Caenorhabditis elegans: one gene and its partners. The protein of the gene in region 3 interacts with the protein of the main gene of each other region in a biochemical or structural test. Each region holds a gene or a part of one and is shown on either strand. Other genes may lie near its edges.

What was found.
Region 1: of the proteins of npr-11 (region 3) and flp-21, one has a biochemical effect on the other in vitro, tested with the Caenorhabditis elegans proteins (2 studies listed by BioGRID, with this or other methods).
Region 2: of the proteins of npr-11 (region 3) and flp-33, one has a biochemical effect on the other in vitro, tested with the Caenorhabditis elegans proteins (one study listed by BioGRID).
Region 4: of the proteins of npr-11 (region 3) and flp-1, one has a biochemical effect on the other in vitro, tested with the Caenorhabditis elegans proteins (one study listed by BioGRID).

What each region holds. Positions count from the first base shown.
Region 1 is NC_003283.11:7,790,791-7,795,150, forward strand, and holds flp-21 (GLGPRPLRF-amide), read left to right. Parts: upstream 1-2,576; 5' UTR 2,577-2,579; coding exon 2,580-2,664; intron 2,665-2,714; coding exon 2,715-2,784; intron 2,785-2,949; coding exon 2,950-2,995; 3' UTR 2,996-3,235; downstream 3,236-4,360. UniProt on the Caenorhabditis elegans protein: FMRFamide-like neuropeptide. Involved in modulating locomotion quiescence during the sleep-like state called lethargus which occurs during molting between larval and adult stages, acting via the G-protein coupled receptor npr-1.
Region 2 is NC_003279.8:12,623,734-12,628,520, forward strand, and holds flp-33 (FMRF-Like Peptide), read right to left. Parts: upstream 1,506-4,787; 5' UTR 1,492-1,505; coding exon 1,337-1,491; intron 802-1,336; coding exon 696-801; 3' UTR 501-695; downstream 1-500. Other genes in the region: ntr-1 (G-protein coupled receptors family 1 profile domain-containing protein), read left to right, coding at 367-457; T07D10.3 (C2H2-type domain-containing protein), read right to left, coding at 3,009-3,182, 3,323-3,475, 3,516-3,614, 3,663-3,749, 4,014-4,172, 4,234-4,437, 4,597-4,731.
Region 3 is NC_003284.9:1,250,483-1,257,651, forward strand, and holds npr-11 (Putative neuropeptide Y receptor 11), read right to left. Parts: upstream 5,166-7,169; 5' UTR 5,134-5,165; coding exon 5,023-5,133; intron 4,909-5,022; coding exon 4,759-4,908; intron 4,704-4,758; coding exon 4,555-4,703; intron 4,504-4,554; coding exon 4,305-4,503; intron 3,902-4,304; coding exon 3,732-3,901; intron 3,084-3,731; coding exon 2,987-3,083; intron 2,938-2,986; coding exon 2,777-2,937; intron 1,688-2,776; coding exon 1,516-1,687; 3' UTR 1,333-1,515; downstream 1-1,332. UniProt on the Caenorhabditis elegans protein: Could be a receptor for neuropeptide Y and peptide YY.
Region 4 is NC_003282.8:9,141,426-9,146,622, reverse strand, and holds flp-1 (SQPNFLRF-amide), read right to left. Parts: upstream 1,919-5,197; 5' UTR 1,911-1,918; coding exon 1,857-1,910; intron 1,811-1,856; coding exon 1,711-1,810; intron 1,275-1,710; coding exon 1,188-1,274; intron 1,136-1,187; coding exon 1,016-1,135; intron 859-1,015; coding exon 762-858; intron 716-761; coding exon 646-715; 3' UTR 501-645; downstream 1-500. Other genes in the region: rpb-12 (DNA-directed RNA polymerases I, II, and III subunit RPABC4), read left to right, coding at 1-77, 127-149; daf-10 (Intraflagellar transport protein 122 homolog), read left to right, coding at 427-482, 2,365-2,480, 2,556-2,676, 2,809-3,028, 3,134-3,425, 3,865-4,030, 4,110-4,344, 4,648-4,761 and 1 more. UniProt on the Caenorhabditis elegans protein: Together with flp-18, plays a homeostatic role by acting on the GABAergic neural transmission at neuromuscular junctions to prevent overexcitation of the locomotor circuit. DPNFLRF-amide: Inhibits the activity of dissected pharyngeal myogenic muscle system.

The DNA of each region.
Region 1 (4,360 bases), on a different chromosome or scaffold from region 3:
ATTAAATTGAAATGAGGTCTTGACGAATTACAAAAAATACACATGCAGGCGTGTAGGCATAAAATAAGCCTTCCCAAACATCAATAAACGTTCTGAACCTGGTCCAAATTTTTGTCCATTTGTTCTAGGACAACTTTTATTATATTTGCGTAAAATTTCTGCGCTATGCCCAGTGTAGCAAAATTTTGGAAACTCGGTTTTCCAATTTAACATTGTAAGCATTTTTTTAAAACAAATTTCGAATTAAATTTTGGCAAACTACACGAGCTGGCTATTTGTATATTGTTAGATCCGAGGGTGGACGGCAAAGGGCGATTTCGGCAAAAATTTTCCGCTGCCTTACTTTTTTTTAGAAATACCGTAACCTTAAGTTTGGCCTATAACTTTCATGGTAGGCAGGTACGCTTTCATGTCTATGTACCTTTCTCTTGTCCGAATGTCTGTGTTTGCCGCAGTAGAATTTTTTTTTGAAAATCATTTTAGGTTCACAAAAAAACCGGAAATATGTAAACGCAGTCACCTATTTCTTGATAGTTACGTCGTAAGAAATTACTCTCGTAAATTGTACGGAACTTTGATCACTCGTCTGTCTTATTACTGTGGAGTCTATGACATTTCTGTCTGAACGCTGTTTCGTAAATAATAAAATGACAAATTAATAGCTTAAGCTCTGATTTTAAGCCAAAGCCTTCTTATCCTGGAATTTTATTCTAATTTTCAGTCTTCGATATCATTCCTCGAAAAATCACAAATACATATGGTGATGTGAATACTCGTCTGTAATTGTTAGGTGGCCACTTCGTAAAATGCTGATATTTCCAAAACCAAAATATAAGAGATCTTGGAGAAAACGCGTCAAAAACCAGCATTTGACGTGTACCTCTACAAATTCTTTCACCTGCCAAATGTTAAATTTGATCTACTGACCCACTAAAACACTACTTTTTTTGTTACCAATGACAATTTTTATGCGACTTTGACATTTGGACAGGGAAAAGTTTTTCCATTCTTTAGTTTGAAACCGAGTCCAAAAATTACAAAATTTTCAAGTTTTTATGCCTCGCTAAACTCTCTAAAGAAGTTTAACTTTGAAAGTCAATGAGCCAACGAAAATTTGTTTCCTCTTCTTCGATGATGACGAAATGTGCCCCGAAGTAACTCGATAATCGTGGAAATCTCTACTTTTTTCGGCTCATAAAGCTTCTTTATTTCTTTTTTTGGTTTTCATCGAAAACTTATCGTATCAAAAACTACCAACTTTTTTGAATATTTGTAAGACTACATTTTCTCATCACTTTTACCCTCCACCTCATCGTTCATCACATTTATCTTACTCCCACTTGCTCTTCACATCACTTTTGTGGGTATATCAATTGGTTGGTGTTTTTTATGTGTTTGTGAATGTTTTGGGGAAGGCTGTGCAAAAATATCAGAAAAAAGAAGAACCTACATGCATTTTGAGGTGGTCTTCATTGTGACTGTTCCTCATTTGGTTGAGATGTCTGCGAATATTAAAAATCTTAAAGACTTTTTTGACCAAAACAATGTGGTATTAAAGGGGAAAAGAAAGAAGAACGTATGTCAACAGTTTTCCTAGTTCAGTCCTAGATTTTTTTTTCAAATCAACTGTCACATTTTTAAAAGGTTAGATGTGTTGTGGAAATCTCTACTTTTCAATTAAAGTTTAATAACTTTTGGCTGTATCAAATACGTGCATTGAAACTCAACTGTTCTCACCTTAAAGTTTTCTGATGCGTTTACAGTCGGGACCAACTACTTACACTGAAACATGTTTATCTTAATTAAGCGGAGCACACTTCCTTTTATTCAAAAAACCTCATAATGCACAAGACGCTGTTTGCTTTCTTTCAAGACCGTAATTAGACAAAGTCATCGAGCAGTAGATTTTTCAAGTCAGCTATTTTCTTTATTCCAAAAACTGCATATTTGTAATACTCATGAATTTTTCATATTTTATGGTTACTCAAAATCTACACGTCTTTATTACAATCTCTCGTTGAATTATCGCGTAAAATTACATCTTCCAAAATAGGACCATTGTTGTTTTCAAGTCATAGCATATTTTAACGCGATTTCCGGCCACCTCAACTATGCTCTGCAACGAGTATGACGTGCCCAATAAATATTGGGCTATCCTGTTTTCCCACCACATACACCCTCCTCATAGTTCCCAGAAAAAACTTTTACCGGAATCACGTATACATATAACATCATCTTACCTGAAAAAACATTTCGATGTATCATTTGCCTAGGTTCTAGGATGGGTGGTTGCTCTTGGAGCAAAGGTCATTTTTGTGAGTAGTCCAGTAGATTTGGAAGGGGATACACTGAAATATTCATTTCTTGTTTCAAAGCTACCGTAGTGATCACTTCCGTCTTACTATTTATCTCAAAACTTCTTTTTTTCCACCCCATCCCATCATGCTTCGCAAGAATCTCATTAACAAATGCAAATTTACAACGATGACTATGTACACTATTTAAGATTTGATTGTGTATTCAACGTTTGATCTCCCACCCTCTCATTGCTCCAAAATCCAAAAAGTCATTTTCAGACGATGCGGCTGTTCATCTTGCTTTCGTGTCTTCTCGCGTGGGTCCTCGCAGCGCCTTATATCGATCAGGAAGATGCGCTCCGCGTTTGTAAGTTTTGTCAAAGTTAAAGATTTAGATTAATCATTAATCTTTTTCAGTGAACGCATATTTGGAGCAATTCGGACCCGGCAGTGACAGAGTTTACTATGTTGCCGAAGACGATCATGGGTAGGTCCAGTTTAATTATTTTCTGATAGACATCTTTATTAAGTCAAGTCTTACTGTAGAATAAGTTGCAAATCGCTATAATTAATAATTTACCGAAATACGAGCATTCAGCTAGAATAAATTAGTTGCGATTCAGAAAAAAGTAAACTAATTTTAAAATTTCAGATCAATGAAACGTGGTCTCGGTCCTCGTCCTCTCCGATTTGGATAAACGGTTGCTGCTCGAACGAACGAACAACATGACACAACATTTTCTCTCTTTCCTCTCAATGTAACTTTATACAAAAATGATGTTCCAGACACTCCACAATTCCAATTCCGAAGAAATATCTATCCTCTCCTTTTCTCTTTGAAAACGCTGCAGAAACAATGTTCTTTTTACTCTCTCTCTCTTTTTCTATCTCACTTCCTCTTTTTCTGTTGAACAAATAAAAACAGCTTTCAGTTTGACATTTGACTTTTTATTAAGTTTATGAGTGCCCTTATATTTAAGAATTTTCCAATTGTGCAATTGTACCCTGCAACTGTAATGGTAGAATCCGGGAAAATCAGTCAGGATTACATTAATGAAACAGTTGGTGTCTTCCCTGCAGGGGTTGAACAAACATTATGGATACTGTTTCAAGGATCGTAGTTGCCGTAATAAATCCATTGAGGCGTCTATCTCTTGAATTTCTAACATAATGTGCCGACTATATAGTAATAAAGCTCCTGAAATTGAGTTTTGGGTGCCAATTTTGTAGTTTTGTGGAAAGTGTAATGATCGTTGAATTTTGGTTTTTGATGATTTTTAAGAACATTTTCCGAGAAATTTCGTATGGCAATTAATACATGGAAAAAATCAGTCCTAGGGATTTTATTCACAATAAAACCGAGAATTCCCTAGAATTGAAGATAAAGTAGTACTTATACATAGTTTCCTACCAAAGCCGAGCCGATTGCAAAAGTTTCGAAAAAATAAAATATCCAATTCGGTTTATGATTACCGCGAAAACAGAAAATAACATATTTTGAGCAAAAATTCTAGTGTTTTTCAACAATACATTTTAACGTTAAATTCTTAGTTTGGTCAATTCAGCATTCGGGGCCACAAACTCCTGCTTCGATCTCTGCACAAATTTCTGTTATCCCTAAAAAATTATCACATTATTTTCAGCCTTATTCATTTTTAGTTAACTCAATATTCGTAAATTACGTAATAGATATTGTCGTTTTAGGATCTCGTTGTACATTAATCTCATCCAAACAAAGAAAATGAGCTTTAAAAGCTCTAAAAACGAGTAAACAAGGTATTCATCAGACAAATGGTTCAAATCGCAATAAGCTTTTTTCTATTTAAAAAAATATAGGTAAAGACCAAAATACAGGACCTTTCAGATTAATTATATTTTTAAGCTTATTTTCAAAATCTAAAACCAAAAATAAATATTTTAAAAATATTGAAATTGAGTGGGCGTGGGAATCTGGAAAGTTAAATATTTAATTCAAAACACAAACGTCTAGAAATATGAGACGAACTACTTGGACTTTGGCCAATATTCAAGAGTTCTTTGGTGTGATTTTTAAACATTATTTA
Region 2 (4,787 bases), on a different chromosome or scaffold from region 3:
GTGAAACTGTACTACATTCTAATTCAAATATGCCTAGAAAGGCTTGAAATCGTTCCAAAATTCAAGGTTTCAATAAAAAAAATGTTGTCAAAACGCCTTAGAGTACCTGAGCCTGAGCCCCTTTGGTCAAAACTTGGCAGGGCTCCAGCCGAAACTTGACCTAGATCTCCCCTTCCCCATCCGACATCAATTTCCTCCCGCAAACAATAGCTATTCTGGTCTCCCCGACAATTGTATTTTGATGCCCGGTGACATGTCAATACGCACTTCCGATACACTTTATTATACCTTTCTTGTTTACACGTGGTTTTGTTCTTTCTTTGATTCTGGAAATTGTTGTGCAAAAAGAAAATGCTGAAATTCCAGTCGACCCGGCGGTGGAGCCGAAGAGGATCATGCTCCGACAGAGTTTACTATGGAGATGGCTGTGAACTCGGAATCCAATCGTTCTGATTAATTTATCAACTATTTATTTTTCTCACCCATATCAATAAAACATATTTGTCAATGCTCATCGTTTATTTTTGGCTTTAATTTTGCATACGAAGAGTGTCGGGGCCGCACCGATGTCAAGGGAAGAGGACAGAGAAGGAAAGAAGGGAACAGAGAAAACGACAGACACAGAGGAAGAGAGAGAAAGAGAGAGAGAACAAATTGTGAGAATTTCAAATTTCAGATTGAGCTGAGCATCAGGTTTAACCAAAACGTGGCTTTTGGATTCCGTCAATGGTGCGCAGGAATCCTGACATGTCCTCGAAGCCTTCCAGCGGGGCACGACGTTCCTTGGCTGGGAGGAATCGTCTGAAAATTAGGCTTTGAGAGAGGGAACGAGGACTGTTGAAAAGGAGCCTACTCACTAGAGCGAAGAGATAGTGAAGAGATCAGGAGCCTAAGCCTAAGCCTAGGCCTAAGCCTGAACCTAAGCTTAGGCCCAAGCCTGAGCCTAAGCCTAAGCCTGAGCCTAATCCTAGGCAAGGGTGTCAAGTCCCGTGTTCCGTTTGCCCCGTTGTCCCGTTTTTTGGGTGTTTTCACGGGAACGGGACGTCCCGATGTCCCGTTTTTGTAATTTTTACGGGACATTGACACCCTTGATCCTAGGTCTAAGCCTGGGCCTGAGCCTAAGCCTAAGCCTAAATCTTGGTCTAAGCCTGAGCCTAAATCTAAGCCTAAGCCAAAACCTAAGCCTAAGCATAAGCCTAAGCCTAAGCATAAGCCTAAGCCTAAGCTTACGCCTAAGCCAAATAAGTTTAAAAAAACATTATAGTTAGGGCAACGCGACTCATTCAGCAAGTCATATTTATACATCGAAATCTCCAAGATCTAGTTCCCAACTCACTTGATAAATTCCAGCTCGGCGTTGCGAGCTTGACGAGCTTCCTGTGCCAGCTCTGCGGCTCCACCATCGGCAAACGCGGCAAGACGTGGCTCTACCGAGAAGCCATGCACGGCTGACAGCAACACAATTGCGACGATGAGAATAAGAAAACGCATGGTAGGGGGACCCTGGAAGTTTTTATTTTTTTTTTGGGTGAAACAGTGAAAAAGCCCAACGAAACTTAATCTAGGCTCGGAACTCTAAAAAGCTCAACGAAACCCCCAAAAAGCTCGGAACTCGATTGACTTTCTGCTGGCTGCACAGCTTTTATACTATTCAGCTTACCTATATGTGCTCCAAAACCAAACACGCAGGAAACAATTAGAAGGCGTGGTCCCTCTCCGTCTTCTCCAAGAATGTAACAAATCTCAATCAAGACGGGTGACAAGTCAAGAGAGAGAGAGAAGGTAATTGTTCATGAGCTCTTTGATGGGCAGTTGTTTTCGGGTGGAAGCAAGTATAATGCTACAAATAATGGAGGAGGATGATGATGACAATGCCATGATGACGAAGTTCCTGTTTGGTAATTCTGGAAGGTCGTATGGAGTCTATTTCAGTTGTGACATTGGTTTGGTTCCGGTACCATGGCCAAGTGATATCATTTCAATATTTGTGTAGGCCAGATTTTCGATTCCTATTCCGGTGACCGGACCGGATCAAACTGTCACGCGATCTGTTCACTTTACTAAGAACCCATTATTCCTTAATCACGTGGATCGGCCGGTATCACACCTAGATGATATCATTCAATCGTTGTGTCACGCAATATGGGAAACCCATTAAGTTTTCCAGTGTAATTTGATTTTTTCTCGGAATATGTAACTTTAATTTTGGTGGAACAGGCACTTCCAGACCTTCTTTCGGCTAGATCCAAGTCCCGGTTGCTTTACCGGATCGGAGTGTCACGCGATCTGAAAATCTTAAAATTGAGACTTTTGGCAATGGATTTTTGTGCAAAAGAGCATGCCAGTCTGATCGAACTCGGAACTTCAGAGTCAATCCAGCTTGATTTAGCAGACACACTAAACACGCCAGTGTGGTCCATAGAAATGTGGTCTACGAGAATGGCGGGAGTTCAGATGCGGCGGACTTTTCAACTAATTTCGCATGTTTGAGAGTACACACAACTAAATCTGATTAAATCTGATGATCACATTTTTGTAGTTCCGCCGGGTCTTCTTATAATATACAGGTAATTTTGCTAAGAATCTTAGTTCTATGTACCCCTCCAGCCATTCGTAACGTCGATCTAGTATTAATGGGGCATATCGTGCAGTGACTCGGTTCTGGTAACATGACCGGCTCTGATTGTCACGCGATCAGGAGCCTAGAAGTTTAATGCAAGTTTCAGGTAATTTAACTAGATGTTCCGGCCACACCGCCGGATTCAAGTGTCACGCGATCTGAAAGTTCCTTATAGGTTTTTTGTGCAAAAAGTTAAGCAGAAGCTTGTCACGCAAGTTGGGTTTTTGGCAGTTTTTCTGGAAAATTTAAAATGTGAACTTTTACTTGGCCGGAGTAAAATTAGGATAACTGGATTGAATATGGTTCAAGCCCTAAAAGTGTATAGTTATGGTCTTTATGTAGTTGAAAAGGTATAAATATCATTAAAACAAGCAAGTTTATCAACTTCCTACATAATCTTCCAAAAGTAGTCCACTACTTCCAATAAGAGCTTGGCCATCTGTCGTGGCGTAAACGAGGAATGTTTCAGTGGGCTTGTTCGCTGATAATTTGTGAATTTCTCGTTGATAAGACGTTGATTCACATCAATGATCACCACAATTATGGATCGGTAGATATTGCACTGAAATTTTGAATATTTAGGAAAAAAAAACAAAAAAATTGCTTCAGTGGGGACTAGAACCCTTTTTATTTTTTTAACCAAAAATGGTACTTTAATAAAATTTTAATAATTTTTAGACCATTTTCTACCCAAATACCCACCACATCTTCGGGCATATTATTGAACGGAGCCTCTCGCTCCACATGCTCCATGGCTTCACGTAAAACTGGCAGGTTTCGTAAAAGCACGTCACGTTGGTAATAGCAATACTTGAATTGGTGACCACATTTGCAAGCAATCACTTGTACAAAAAACTGAAGGAAAAAAATTGGAAAAAATTGGAAAAAAACCAACCTTTCTATCAAAAAATTCACAATTCTGGCTTGCCACGTGGCTCTGAAACCCCTTGTTGTCCCGAAATCGGCGTTGACATGTGGTACACACATATAAGCCCTGAAATTTAACAAAAATAAAGGAAAAACTCTGAAAAAAGAGCCCAACATATGCTCGTTCCTCCTGCTTCTCCTGGTAGCGCAAAAAGTACTTGTAGTTGAGAAGTAGGTGCCTGGAGTCTAGGAATAGGTGTTTCTGAAAACTTGATTTTTAAAAATAAAATAAATTGAATTTTTTGGAGTATTTTGAGTCAAAAAAAAACTAGAAAAAAGCTTACAAATTAGATGAGTTATGGAAGTTTGAAACTTTTCAAACAAGAATTCTGAGAAAATTTTGGGTCTCACGAAAACTTATTTCCTAACAAGTTTCTTCAGAAAATTTTCAGGCTAAAAAGCTTTAAATTTTTCAGATTCCCAGCTTTTCCAAATTTTAAAATACAAATTCCCAATGAAAACTCACATAATGCTGCTCAAAAAAGTGTCGGATACACTTCTCATTAGTTTCAAAAATGTACTTGCACACCGGATCCGGGCACATATGATCCCGGCCGTGTAAATGTGCCACGTACTCGTTACGTGACGACCAAGTACGATTGCAACAGTTGCAGATGTAAACTGGCTGAAATTTGGAGCAAAAATTTTTTCCTTGATTTATTTTTTCTAAATAAAAATTTCCCAACCTTCAAAAAATGTTTCTGCTGATCCCAAGCTTCTGTTTCAACAGATCCAGTTCCTTGTAAATGCTCCAAAGCAGTCTTATAGTCTGAAAACCGTACTCCACAGCAAAATAGTTGGCAGGATTGGTGCTCCAGGAGGTAATGGAATCTCGCATCAATGAGGTCCAAAAATAGTAGGCTACACGTGGAAAATGGACAGGGAATTACCTGAAAATCAAGAAAATTGCAAACAAATTTTCAAAATATCCAAGTGGCGCAGTGAGATTTTGGACAGCATATTAATCTCAACACCGTGGTTCGAATCCACCTAATGACATCACTAGTTTTACTAGATTTTATAAGTTTAACAAAAACATTTGAACGCACAAATTCAAAATCTGGTAGCTGAATCTGAAATTTTCCATCTAGAAATCCGTTATATGCATCCATATGGACAAATTGGTGCCATAGACGGGAGAGCTCCGAGCTGAGTATTTGGTGGCATTTCGGGCAAGTTTCACGCTGGAAAAAACGTTTTAAAAGTTAGGAGTTTGTCTACAATACCCCTAGAGTCATCC
Region 3 (7,169 bases):
ACTACTATCAACGTAAATACTGAATTTCCAACTTTATGAAAGTTGCGTGGGTTTTTTTTGAAGTTTCAGAAGCTCAAAATAACTAAATAGAGAAACTAGAAATATTCGAGCTGCATTTTTTTTAAGCCGAAATTGTTTTCATCAATAGATTTAAGAAAGCTTTCAGCATAGATATTATGATGTTTTTTGAAATAAGTTTAGGTATTCGACAATAAATTATTTAAAATTTAAAAAAATCCTTCAGTCAGGCATTTTCTTCACAGAATCGTGGTAATTTTAATTCTAGGAAAGAAGAGTAATGAGTCACTGCGGAGTTAGAAAATGTGTACAGCATTCCTGGTGATACAGTAACCCTACATCAATTCTACAGTTCCCCTACAGTACCACTACAGTTCATTGTCTTAATCCTCCACCAACTCCCAACCCAGTACCGTTTCAAAAGCTAAAAATTCGAATTTTCCCAAACTACAGTAACCCTACAGTAGTCCTACAGTACTTGAACAGTACCACTACAGTACCATGGCATTGTCCCCCACTAACGTTCAACTCAGTACCCCTTCAACTATAGAAAAGAGTTCAGAGGTCATAATTGAATTATAACCAAATCCTAGCCGGGGAGAGGCTGGAGTCGATTGCTTGTGACCACCTTTTTGGAACATCTTCAAAATATATTTTTTTAGAACAAAAAGTTTGCCCCCACTCGATCTAAAAAATTGGATTTTTATAAGAAAAACACAATTTTAAAAAAGCTATAAAGAATTTTCATTTTTGAAAACCCCCTGCAAGCATGTTAAAAATTACATTTGCATATAATACTCAAACGTAGCGTTTGCATTTTTTAGTGTACACAGTATACACGTGGCGTCAGGCTGTCTCATCACAGGTTGATCTACAAAAAATGCGGGAATATTTTTGCAAAAATTGTGACGTCAGCACACTTTTAACCATGCAAAATCAATTGAGATGTCTGCGTCTCAACTCCCGCATTTTTTGAAGATCAAACCGAAATGAGATATTCTGACTCCACGTGAGTATATACTTTTGTCCCAAAAGATTTTTGTTATCATTCTTACATCAAATCCCCCCTCCCTTAAAAAAAACAAGCTTTTTTGACCAGTTTCCGATGAGTAGTTCATTAAAATTCACTTTCCTGTCTCGAAACGAAGAACCAAAAACTTCCATATCCATGACGCCATTTGTTTTGAAAAGCTGCCGAACAATATGGTTGTTCAACTCAAAAATACCCTAAATTTTCCGCATGACTGCGCATTTCAGTCAGTCCCCTCCCTAATCTTCGGTCACTTCTCTCAAATTTGACCAATCATCTCTCTTATGACAAGCTTCATTTACAAATCTTCATATGTGAAACATAATAGGCTGAATCAGCAACATACTGACGGAAACGAAAAAAAAAGTAAAAAAAAAGAACATCAAAATCAAATAAATTAGGTTTTAGAAGCGTTTTGAAACAATGACGGAATGATTTATTGTTACCCTACATGTTTTCTTAAACAATCACAGCTGCTCATCTTGCTCCATCGCACTCAGAATCATACTTTCATTCATTCTCTGGAAGGTTGCTGGCTCTGCAGTAGTTACCGTCTTACAGCCTCCACGGCTTCTGAATTCAGTGCGCATACTTTTCTTGAGCGACTCTTGCTCTCCAAATATCACGACTCGAAGGGATCTGGAATATTGCGATATTTTTTTGAATTTTCAGATTTTTCTACAGTACAACCATCTATAATTTTCTTCAAATTTACTCATTATTCCGTGAGCCTAATCTCCGCAATTTTTGTAGATCAATGGTATTACGGGAACACAAAATTGTGAGAATGCGTACTGCACAACATATTTGACGCGCAAAATATCTCGCAGCGAAAACTACAGTAATTATTTAAATGGCTACTGTAGGTCGATTTAGGAGCTTGATTCTCAAATTGAATTAAAATCATTTGTTTATCAATATAATATATAAATTAAGGAGGAAAATATAACAAAAACGAAAAAAAATGGAATATTGATGTCCCTATTCAAAAAGAAAATCACTTCAAAAATTGAGCCCGTAAATCGACACAAGCACTACAGTAGTCATTTAAAGAATTACTGTAGTTTTCGCTACGAGATATTTTGCGCGTCAAATATGTTGTGCAATACGCATTCTCAAAATTTTATGTTCCCATAATAAAGGACCTCTTTATTATGCGTGTCAACTTAGGGCGCTTAATTGGTAGATCGCTTTTATTTTCTGGGTGTATCACGACTTTGATACAAAAGCTGTAAACCAGGCCACACACCGCAACAGTTCTTCTACCAAACTATTACAGTACCTTGGTAGTTCCTATTATATTTATATAACTCTTGAGGAAAGGTTTTCCACAGTGTAATAGCCCCACTGTGTTTAGACCACCTGCCGGCAGGGTCTTAACACGGCAATTTTTTTTCAAAAATTGGAAGGTGAGCCTTTAAAGAGTACTGTAGTTTACAACTCATTGTTTTTATCAACTAATTTTACGAAAAAAAAAATCATCAAATTAATAATTGAAAATTTGAGAAAACCGTATGTCTATGAAAAATTCATGAAATTTTAGCGATAATAAAGTTTGAAAATTACAGTACTCCTTCCTCAAAGGCGCACATACTTTTGTATTTAACAAAAATGTATCGTGACGGGACCTGGTACTGGACGTTTTTGTGCAAAATGACAAAATTGCAAAAATTTTCCACCAACTTTACACATAAGTGTTACCAAAATTAACTTAAAATGTTCACAAACCTCAACCCAACTCTATCGAAAAGATGCATAAATTCGATCCGGAAGTTATGATTGAAAAATGCATAGATCAGCGGATTCAAGCACGCCGAGCACATTGCCAAGCAGTGACAGATGCTGAACGTTGTAACGGAAAAACTGTTGACCAGCTCGAATGTGTTGAACTGAAATTTGTTATGGTTTTAGTGGAACATAAAACGAAAATGCTCCTACGATATGAAAAACGTTGAGTGGCAGCCAGGCGACGGCGAATACAGCTACAACGCATACAAGAAGGAGGTGGGTGCGTCGTTGACGTTCCACGACGGATCTGGAACTTTTTTTAAAATAATTTTATTTCGAAGAACATCTATTTTGTACAATAAATTATGTGAAAAATTTTAAGTTGTTTGATTTTTGAATAAGCTCAAAATTTAGTTCTCCAGGCAAGTAATGATCCGAAAGTTTCAAAAATAACTTGAAATTGGGTGATTGGGTTAATTTCAAAATGTTGTAGATATCAGTTTAGTATAAGTTCATTCACATGATTTTTTTACAAAAAATTAAAGTTTTTTACTAACATTTTTTGAAAATTTTATGACCGCAGATAAAATAACAAATTTTGAGCACATTTTTCTCGAAGTTTCACAGTAGTAAAGGTGGAATAGCCCAAATGGGTAAATTGATAAAAACAACTCCTATGGTGTCAAATATCATAGTAAAACATTTCAAAAAATGCTCTAAAAATTTTTATTGGGCTATTTATTTTTTTTGCACAAATAGAGATTTTCCCAATTTTCAAAAAAAATTACATCAAATTTAGAAAATTGTTTCAATTTTTAAATTGTGGTATTCGGCCCAGGTGGGTCAGATTTTCTCAGAAAAGTTCTGTTAGAACAGTGTTTCAAAAATTTCGAATGCCACTTAAAACGTGGAACTTTACATTTTTCGAAACAAAAACATTTCAAAAATTTCTTACCGTCTCCTCTGACTCGTATTGGTATTTGTTGTCACATTCTGATTTCGGTTTGCAAATCTCAGCTTCATCCGATGTGCTATCCGGGAGTAGGCGAAGACTAGTGAAAACAGGGGAAATGCGTATTGGGTGATAAGAACTGCCAACGTGTAGGTGCCTTTTGATATGATCATCTGGAAAAATTGGAGTTTAGCCGAAATTGTCTTTTTTTATATTTGTTTTTATATTTCCATACATACTGGTTAATATAATACCAGTTAACATGTTTTCAGAAAACTGAAAACTTTAAAAAGTCATTTGAAATTTTATTTGAAAATTTTAAAAAATCGGAACAATTTTTTTAAATTTTTTTTCAACTCTTTTATGTATTTGGAAATTATGACACATTTTCTATTACTCAAAGCAAATTTCCATAGAAAGTATTAAGCAAGTTCCCTTGACTATCGTCACACCATATTAACCTAATTATTACAGTAATACTACAGTACATAGACAGTTTTTATATTTCATTAATAGGAGCTGATACATGAAGCTTATTGTTTAGTTTATAGTTCATTTAGACCACTAAGAACCAACCTTTTCCCATATCTCATTTTGCTCATGGCAAATGTAAAGAGCCAAATCGCACGATGGCTCAACGAAAACCGGTGTCAAATCAGAAGCCTGCAGAAGTGGAACCGCAAGGATTAGGGAAATCACCCAGATCATGATAAAAAAGCAGAACGACAGATTTTGTTGTCGTTCTCGCTTCGTTGGGAAGATAATGAGCACGTATCTGAAAACTTGTTAAATGGCATTTTTAATTAAAAAAAATATATGTACATACCTATCAACAGCAATTGAGGCTATCGAGAATGTGGATAAAAATATGTTAAAGCCTTGCAGCGAACCCGCAATTTTGCATAATGTCCTGCTAAATGGCCAGAACATGTAGAGAACCGTGTATAATGTGGTCGGCGCTGTCACAATACAAACCTGGAATTTTTCAAATTGTTTCCTATCTTCAATAATTCCAGCAAAAAATACTCACAAAAAAGTCCGACAGCGCCAAGTTTAAAATGAAAAAGTTCCTTGTTGTCCGCATTGCTGGGTTGAGTATGACTACGATGATTGTCAAAAAGTTGCCTATTGCTCCAAACAAAATGATCAGCATGTATGCGAATGTGATGAAATATCCGAACTGAAAATTTGAATGTTAAGTTTTGAGTAAGCACTGACCATTTTTAAATTTGCACTGACAAAGTTTTGATTTGCACTGACAAAATTTAAAAAAATTGTCTTTTTGAATACCAACCTCTTTTGGTGAATACTCAGTCCCATTGATAACCTGATCATCTCGAAAAAAGTAGTTGATTTTGTTGAAAATTTCTACATAATTGTCACATGATTCATTCACCGATCCCATTTGTTGAAAGTTCTGAAAATACCGACGAAAATACAAAAATACGGGAGATGAAATTGAAGGCAAGAAAAAAAATATGTGAAACGCCAATTTTCTCACACAGAAGGGAAATAAATAAACGAATATTCCAAGAAATTGAGCATCCAGACTAGTGGTTAGTCGGTCGGTTATAAGAGAAAAATATCAAAAAATGAGAGGTAATTACTGCGAATTATAGAGAAGAAATGAAAATTGAAAAGTGAAAACTATCATCTCATTTAACTCATTCTCCCGCCCCGGTGTCTACTCCCATATCCCTTTTAAATTGAAACTTTATAAAAACAATAACGTTGAAAGACAGGGGTTTGGGAGCAATATGTGCACCGAATTTCAGGAATAACTTAGTTTTTTTTTTTAATAATATTTTTTCAATTTTACCAGCCACAATCATCTATGTTATGCTGCCTAAAAATACACAACTTGCACTGACAAGATGTTTAGTTGCACTGACCAAAACTTCGAATGACTTTATCCAATGGCTATCATATATGCCAATTGCACTGACAAAATTTTCAGTTGCACTGACCACTATATCATTTGCACTGACAAAAATTTTGATTGACTTTATCAGTTGCACTGACCACATCTCCATTGCAATGACCATAATTTTTGGTTTACTGTTAAGAATTGCACCAAATTCGAAAGAATCTCGCAAACAGTCAAAAGCTATAGGAAATAGCAAAAATTAATAAATGTGTGGGAGCAGTTCATGAAAAATAATTTTGAAAAAACAAAAGAAGCGGTGAATGAGCTCACCAGAGACAACCAAATACGATTAAACCAAACTAGTAGCATCACCACAAGAATAAAAAATTTATATGACTTTGTTTTGACGGAACTCGTCTTTTCAACCGCCATTTATTTCGGCCACCCAGGTCGGTTTTTTTAAACATTTCTCTCTGCCATCTTGTGGTGGATATCCATAAACATCGGAAATGCAGGAACGGGCCGGATATGAAATGGAGAAGTGAAACACAACAACAACATCAACAAAAGAAAACTGGTATCAGAAAACAGAACTTTGTGTGTTTTTAAAGGTGGAGTTCCAAAATCTGAGACCTTGAGACTTTCCATTTTTCAGACCAAAAATTTTCGAAAATTTTTTTTTCCGAAAAACAATTGTAGAAATGAGGGGTTTTTTGAGCTAAAATCTCGTTTTTTCACAATTTTGCCAATTAAAAAAGTCCCAACTTGAAGAAATAAGGTTCATTAAATTATCACCCCCTGCGACACATTTTTTCGATTTTTTGATTTTTACAGGGAAACTTTCGAAAAATCGATAAATTAAAATGTTTGTTTTTTGAAAATCTGAAGTAAAAAATTCCGATTTTCTTCAATTTTTTAAAGGGAAAATCGGAAAATCGAAAAATTTTTCCATTTTTTTGAACAATTAAATCGTTAATTTTGTATAAAAGTTTACAGAAAATTAACGATAAAATTATAATTTTTAATCAAAAACCAAACAAGAAAATGTTTGATTTTTTGATTTTAGTTAAAAAAAAATCAATCTAATCTACTGCAAAATCGGATTTTTCCAAAACTTTGATCCAACTTAACTTTGTTTTGAGAAAATTTTAAGCAAAACTAAATAACAATTATTTTATCAAAATTTTGGATTTTATAGTAAATTTTCATAAAGGGTAATAATTAAATGAAACTTACTTATTCAAGTTCTGATTTTATTTAATTGAAAAAATTTTAATTTTGGCTAAGATACAACTTTTTTTTCCAAAATTTTACACCACCATTTCATGTTTTTCGAATAAATTTCAAAACCTTTCAGTACAAAATTCGGTAGTTTCATGTCAAATTGAATCTAAAAAAAGCAAATTTTCAGATTTCTGTTATTTTTCCACCTTTAAGAATCCCGTTGTTTTCGGTTTTTATCAGAACCAGGAAAAGTTTATTAAAACCAGGAATGCTCTTTTCTTCCGGAGCCACACAAAAACGCTATTGGTGTTTTTGATGAGAAAGCCTGCTAAGTACTGCGAGAGAATGCT
Region 4 (5,197 bases), on a different chromosome or scaffold from region 3:
TGAAATCAAACCGAAAGACGCCATTCGCTGCAGAGAATGCGGATATCGTATTCTATACAAGAAAAGATGCAGAAAGTGTAAGTTTTAAATTGTATAGAAAACAAAAATTCATTTTTGAACTTTCAGTGATGGTGTACGACGCCCGCTAATGAACCTGGCTGAACCTGTATCATTTTGTTGAATTTTAAATTTCATACTTGATCTTCGTATTTTTCTCATTTCATCACTTTCAAAAGCGATGAATTTTTCGAATTTTAACCGTTAACAATAAATCGTCGTTCTGCTTAATGACAGGTGTTCTGCATTCTAAGCACACAAATTAAGGACAAGAGCACCCGTGCGCCTGTGAATCTCCATAGCAACCAATGCTTTTCAACGCAACTCAGGCATTTGCTTGTTCTTGTCTAGTTCCACTTATTTTATAAAATGCGACCAAATTTACTATGGGTCGACAAAATTTTAGACGAAAACAATGAAGCTGGGTGAGTTGTTTAAAATTTCAAAATATTTCTTTCATTTTCAAAAACAAATGACACTGAAAGATAAAAAGACGAAAAGAGAATAGAGAAAATAGAGAAATTGTTCCTGAATTAGCTGCTGTGTGAGTGTGATCGATCTGATGCTGACGGTCGAAGTTTTAGTTTCTTATTTTCCGAAACGAAGGAAATTTGGCTTGCGGGATTCACGATCGAAGTTGTCGAATGAGCGTCCGAATCTGAAGAAATAATTTGATAATATTATAATTTTTGTTTTTAACATACCTCAAGAAGTTAGGATCTGCAGATCGTTTTCCGAATCTCAAGAAATTTGGATCAGCAGCGGCTTTTCCAAATCTCAAGAAGTTAGGGTCACTTCGACCTGAAAATGATTATCATTTAGAATCTTGATTATTTTCTATTTTGTTCCCTAACTGACTATCTTTATGAGAGGAAGCTTTGTTTGCAAATAAACTGAAATTTAGTTCGAATCGTTAGATCTGAAATGTTCTTCAAATCCAATCCATTCAAATACTCACCGAAACGAAGGAAGTTCGGGTCTCCGCTAGCCTTTCCGAATCGCAAGAAGTTTGGTTGAGATCGTCCGAATCGAAGGAAGTTCGGGTCTGAACCGGCTTTCTTTCCCAGCGACTTTACAGCTAAAAGAGCACCAAGTTGTGCTCTTTTTTATCAGAAAAAGGTTAGACTTACCTGCTGATCGCCCATATCTCATAAAGTTTGGCTTTCTCTTTTCCATCTTTTGCAGTGCCACCTCGGCATCACCATCGCAGTTTTCACCTGAAAATGAGGAAATATTATGAAAATTCATCAGATACCTTGGCAGGAAGGCGTTGCTTCAGACGAGCTTGCATGCCTTATGCCTGCCCGCCTATCTCTTATTTTGTACATTTAGGCGCAAAGTCTTGATTTACGCACAAGGTTCAACGAACACCCGTGCAGGCATGAGGCAGGCGAGACAGGCCTTTTTGTGATTACATAGCGGGTTTTCTAACGACCAAATATTCTAACAAAGACCCTAATTATAGAGTTAGAATATGTTTTCAGTTGATCTTAAGTTAAATTTTGAAATCAATCTAATTAAATGTTATAACCATGATTTTCCCCGTATTTGGAAGTTTTTTAAATCATTATCTAAATAACCTTATCAATTGTAGGCAATATTTTTTAAATGAATAGTATACTAAACCCTTCAATGAAATCAAAAGGAACAAACCTATAAAGTTCATCACTTCATTTTGCTCCATGGTGGAGAGCATCGAGAAGACCGTACAAAAGTCTGAAGTGGCTCCCGGTGTGCAACATTCTGCCGACACCTGAATAATAATTATAATTTTGAAATTATTAAATCAAGAAAGAAACCTTATAAGTAGCTGCCACAAGGAGTAATAACCCTACTTGGTAGAGCAGAGTCATGATAAAGTGAAGAAAACCAATGAAGATGTGAGCTATTTATAAGCCTTCTTTGCAAGTACCGTATCCAATCTTGAACCCCCCATGATGAGTATGAGTAGGATGATGATGATATTTACCACAAATAATTAATTTGATTTTAATATTCATATTGTATTTCTTGCATCTGGGGTCCGTAAGACGTGCTTGACGAGGACTAATTCCATTATGTTTTATACATCCAAAACGGGACACATTCTATGGATTGGAATTTCAGGAAGATGATGACGATGAAAAAGATTTCAAGAAAATTAGGCTTCCATGGGGAACAGTTTTTTTTTTTGGGTTTTTAGGAATTCCTTCAAAAATTGTGAACAATTAAATAGCTAGATTATCATTTTACCACATATTTTTTAAGAACCGGAAAACCTCAATTATAATTTAAAACGTATCATTTGAAATAGAAATTAATTTCCAGAGTTTGCATTTATGATCTCGCATTCAAACCAGATGGCTCTGAACTTTTGTTGGCTGCAGATAACAAAGTTTACTTGTTTGATGTTAATGAAGGTGGTCAAATGCAAACTTTGAAAGGTAAGTACGTTTTAAAATTATTTAGAGTAAGAATTCATTGAGCCCTTCTCTAACTCTAAATCAACTGAATTTCAGGACACAAAGATCTAGTATACACAGTCGCATGGTCACATAATGGCGAACTATTTGCATCAGGTGGTGCTGATAAATTGGTAATTTTGTGGAATGAGAAACACGAGGGAACTTTGAGATACAGGTTGGAATTTTTCCGAACAGACTGAGAATCTGGCTATTGCCATATTTTTTTAGCAAATTGTAGTTTTACAATTTTTGTTGAAAATTCAAAATTCGTAATACGAAATTGCAAAAATGTAATTATAAATTTCAGTCACACAGACGTAATCCAATGTATGATGTTCAATCCATGCAATCAAATTCTATTAACTTGTGCATTGAATGAGTTTGGATTATGGTCCACTGCTGATAAAAATGTGATAAAACAAAGAAGTGTAGTGAGATGTTGTAGTTGTGCATGGAATACAGATGGTACCATATTTGCAATAGGTCATGGAGATGGTACAATCACACTGAGAAAGGGAACTAATGCGGTAAGAAAATATTAATATCATTTCAATTTCAGAAAATGTACATATTTTACCGCAAATATTAGTTTAAAAAACGATATTTAAAATAGTTAATACATTAATTTAAAGACCGAGGAACCGTCAATAATAATTCAACGTGATAATGAACCAATTTGGGGTATTGCATTCTCATCAAATCGCACATTTGCATCAAGAGATTCACAAGGAAATCCAATGGGTATTGATGAAATAATGGCTGTAATTGATTGGAATAAGACACTTTCTTTTTATTCACTTGATGGAACGTTTATTGAATCAAAGAATTTGGAATTTGAACCGCATTGTATCAGTTATTGTTTAAATGGAGAATATTTATTGATTGGTGGATCGGATAAGATTCTAAAAATATACACAAGGAAAGGTCAGTTTTGAAAAAGGGAATAATTTTTTAATTTACAGGGAAAGCATTTCAGATCTCAATTAGACTTTTTTTTAATGAAACCTACGTTATTTGAAAGAGGAACTTCACACTAGGTCTCTGCAAAAAATTTAGCACTGAAACATTTTTCATATTTTAATTTTATTTTAATTTTTAATTCATATTTTAATTTTATTTATTTACTTTTTTAAAAATTCTTTTTGACTGAACCTCTTTCTATAATAGTGAACGTACTCCACTGCTGCTAAAGTAAGTTTTTTGCAGGAACTTAGTTTGGAGGCCCTTTTTCAAATAAACTAGGTTTCTTTCAGATGTCAAATCGTGACCTGAAATAATTGCCTTTAGTAAGTAGTTGTAGTAGGGAATTGAAAAATTAATTCCCACAATATTGAATGATCGACTGTTGAAAATAAATTTATAGGAGTACTTCTCGGAACAGTTGCTCAAATGGATCATTGGATTTGGTCAGTGACAGTACGTCCAAATTCTCAAACTGTTGCCATGGGATGTGTTGATGGAACTATAGCATGCTATAATTTGGTATTCTCAACGGTTCATTGCGTTGATCACGCAAGATATGCAAATCGGTTAGTTTCGTTTTTGATAAATGAAAAAGGTTTCACATCTTTTTGGCAATTGACGAAAATCACCTGATCTTTTTTCCAGAAAATCAATGACGGATGTATTTGTTCAAAATCTGGAGTATCGTACAAGTTCCAATATTTGTTGTCATGATCTTGTCAAGAAAATGTCACTTTATGACACAAAGTTGGCTGTTCAGCTTTCTGACAAAATTCAAATATATAAGCAAACTGGAGGTGTGTCTAAAAATGAAAGGAGAAAGCAGCTCAAGTACACATTACAAGACACTATTCGGAAGGATTTGTCATTTTCATTAATGGTGAGTTGAGGAAATTCTTTGATGATTTCAGTTTTCATAGTTGATTTTAAATAGTGTTATATCTACCATGGGGATTTTAGATCTGATTTCTTGAAAGTTTCCTCTAAAATGGATACATTCTAGTTAAGAACTTGATGAAGAACTTTGAAAAATCTTTTGATCAAAAAAAATTATAGGTTTGTTTCAAATATGGAAAAATGTGGATCAAGGTTCGGTAAGACTCGAGAAGCATAGAAATTGAAACATTTGCAAATCATAATTAGCAAGCAAATAATTATGTATTATATTCAATCTATTTTTCAGGTAGTTACACACGGCCATCTGGTGGTTTGCAATGATGAAAAATTAGAGTGTTATGATTTTAAAGGAATCAAAAAAAGATCATGGAATATGAAGTCAATTGTCAGGTATTTAAGAGTGAGTAACCTTCGTTATTTTTTAAAGTTTAAAAGACAAGTTTGCGGGTTATAAACATTCAAAAAATACATTGAAAAATACATTTAAAAGTTGCCATAATTAGAAATGTGGTTTTTTAACCAAACAAACCTTGTTTGGTAACTGATCTATACGATTTTTATTGGGTTGTATTATAAGTTATTTTCGCCAGTTAGCTATAGCTAACTGGCGAGAATAACTTTCAAAGTTTTTGAAACTGCAAATATTTTTAATATTTATTTTAGTCAATCCTACATCATTAATTGTAACCAACAAACTTTTAGGTTCTCGGTGGTCCTGCTCATCGTGAAACTCTTGTACTAGGAACCACAGATGGCGGTGTATATAAAGTATTCATTGACAATGATTACCCAATTCTTTTGGATTCCCGAAAGACGGCTATCAAATGTATTGACAT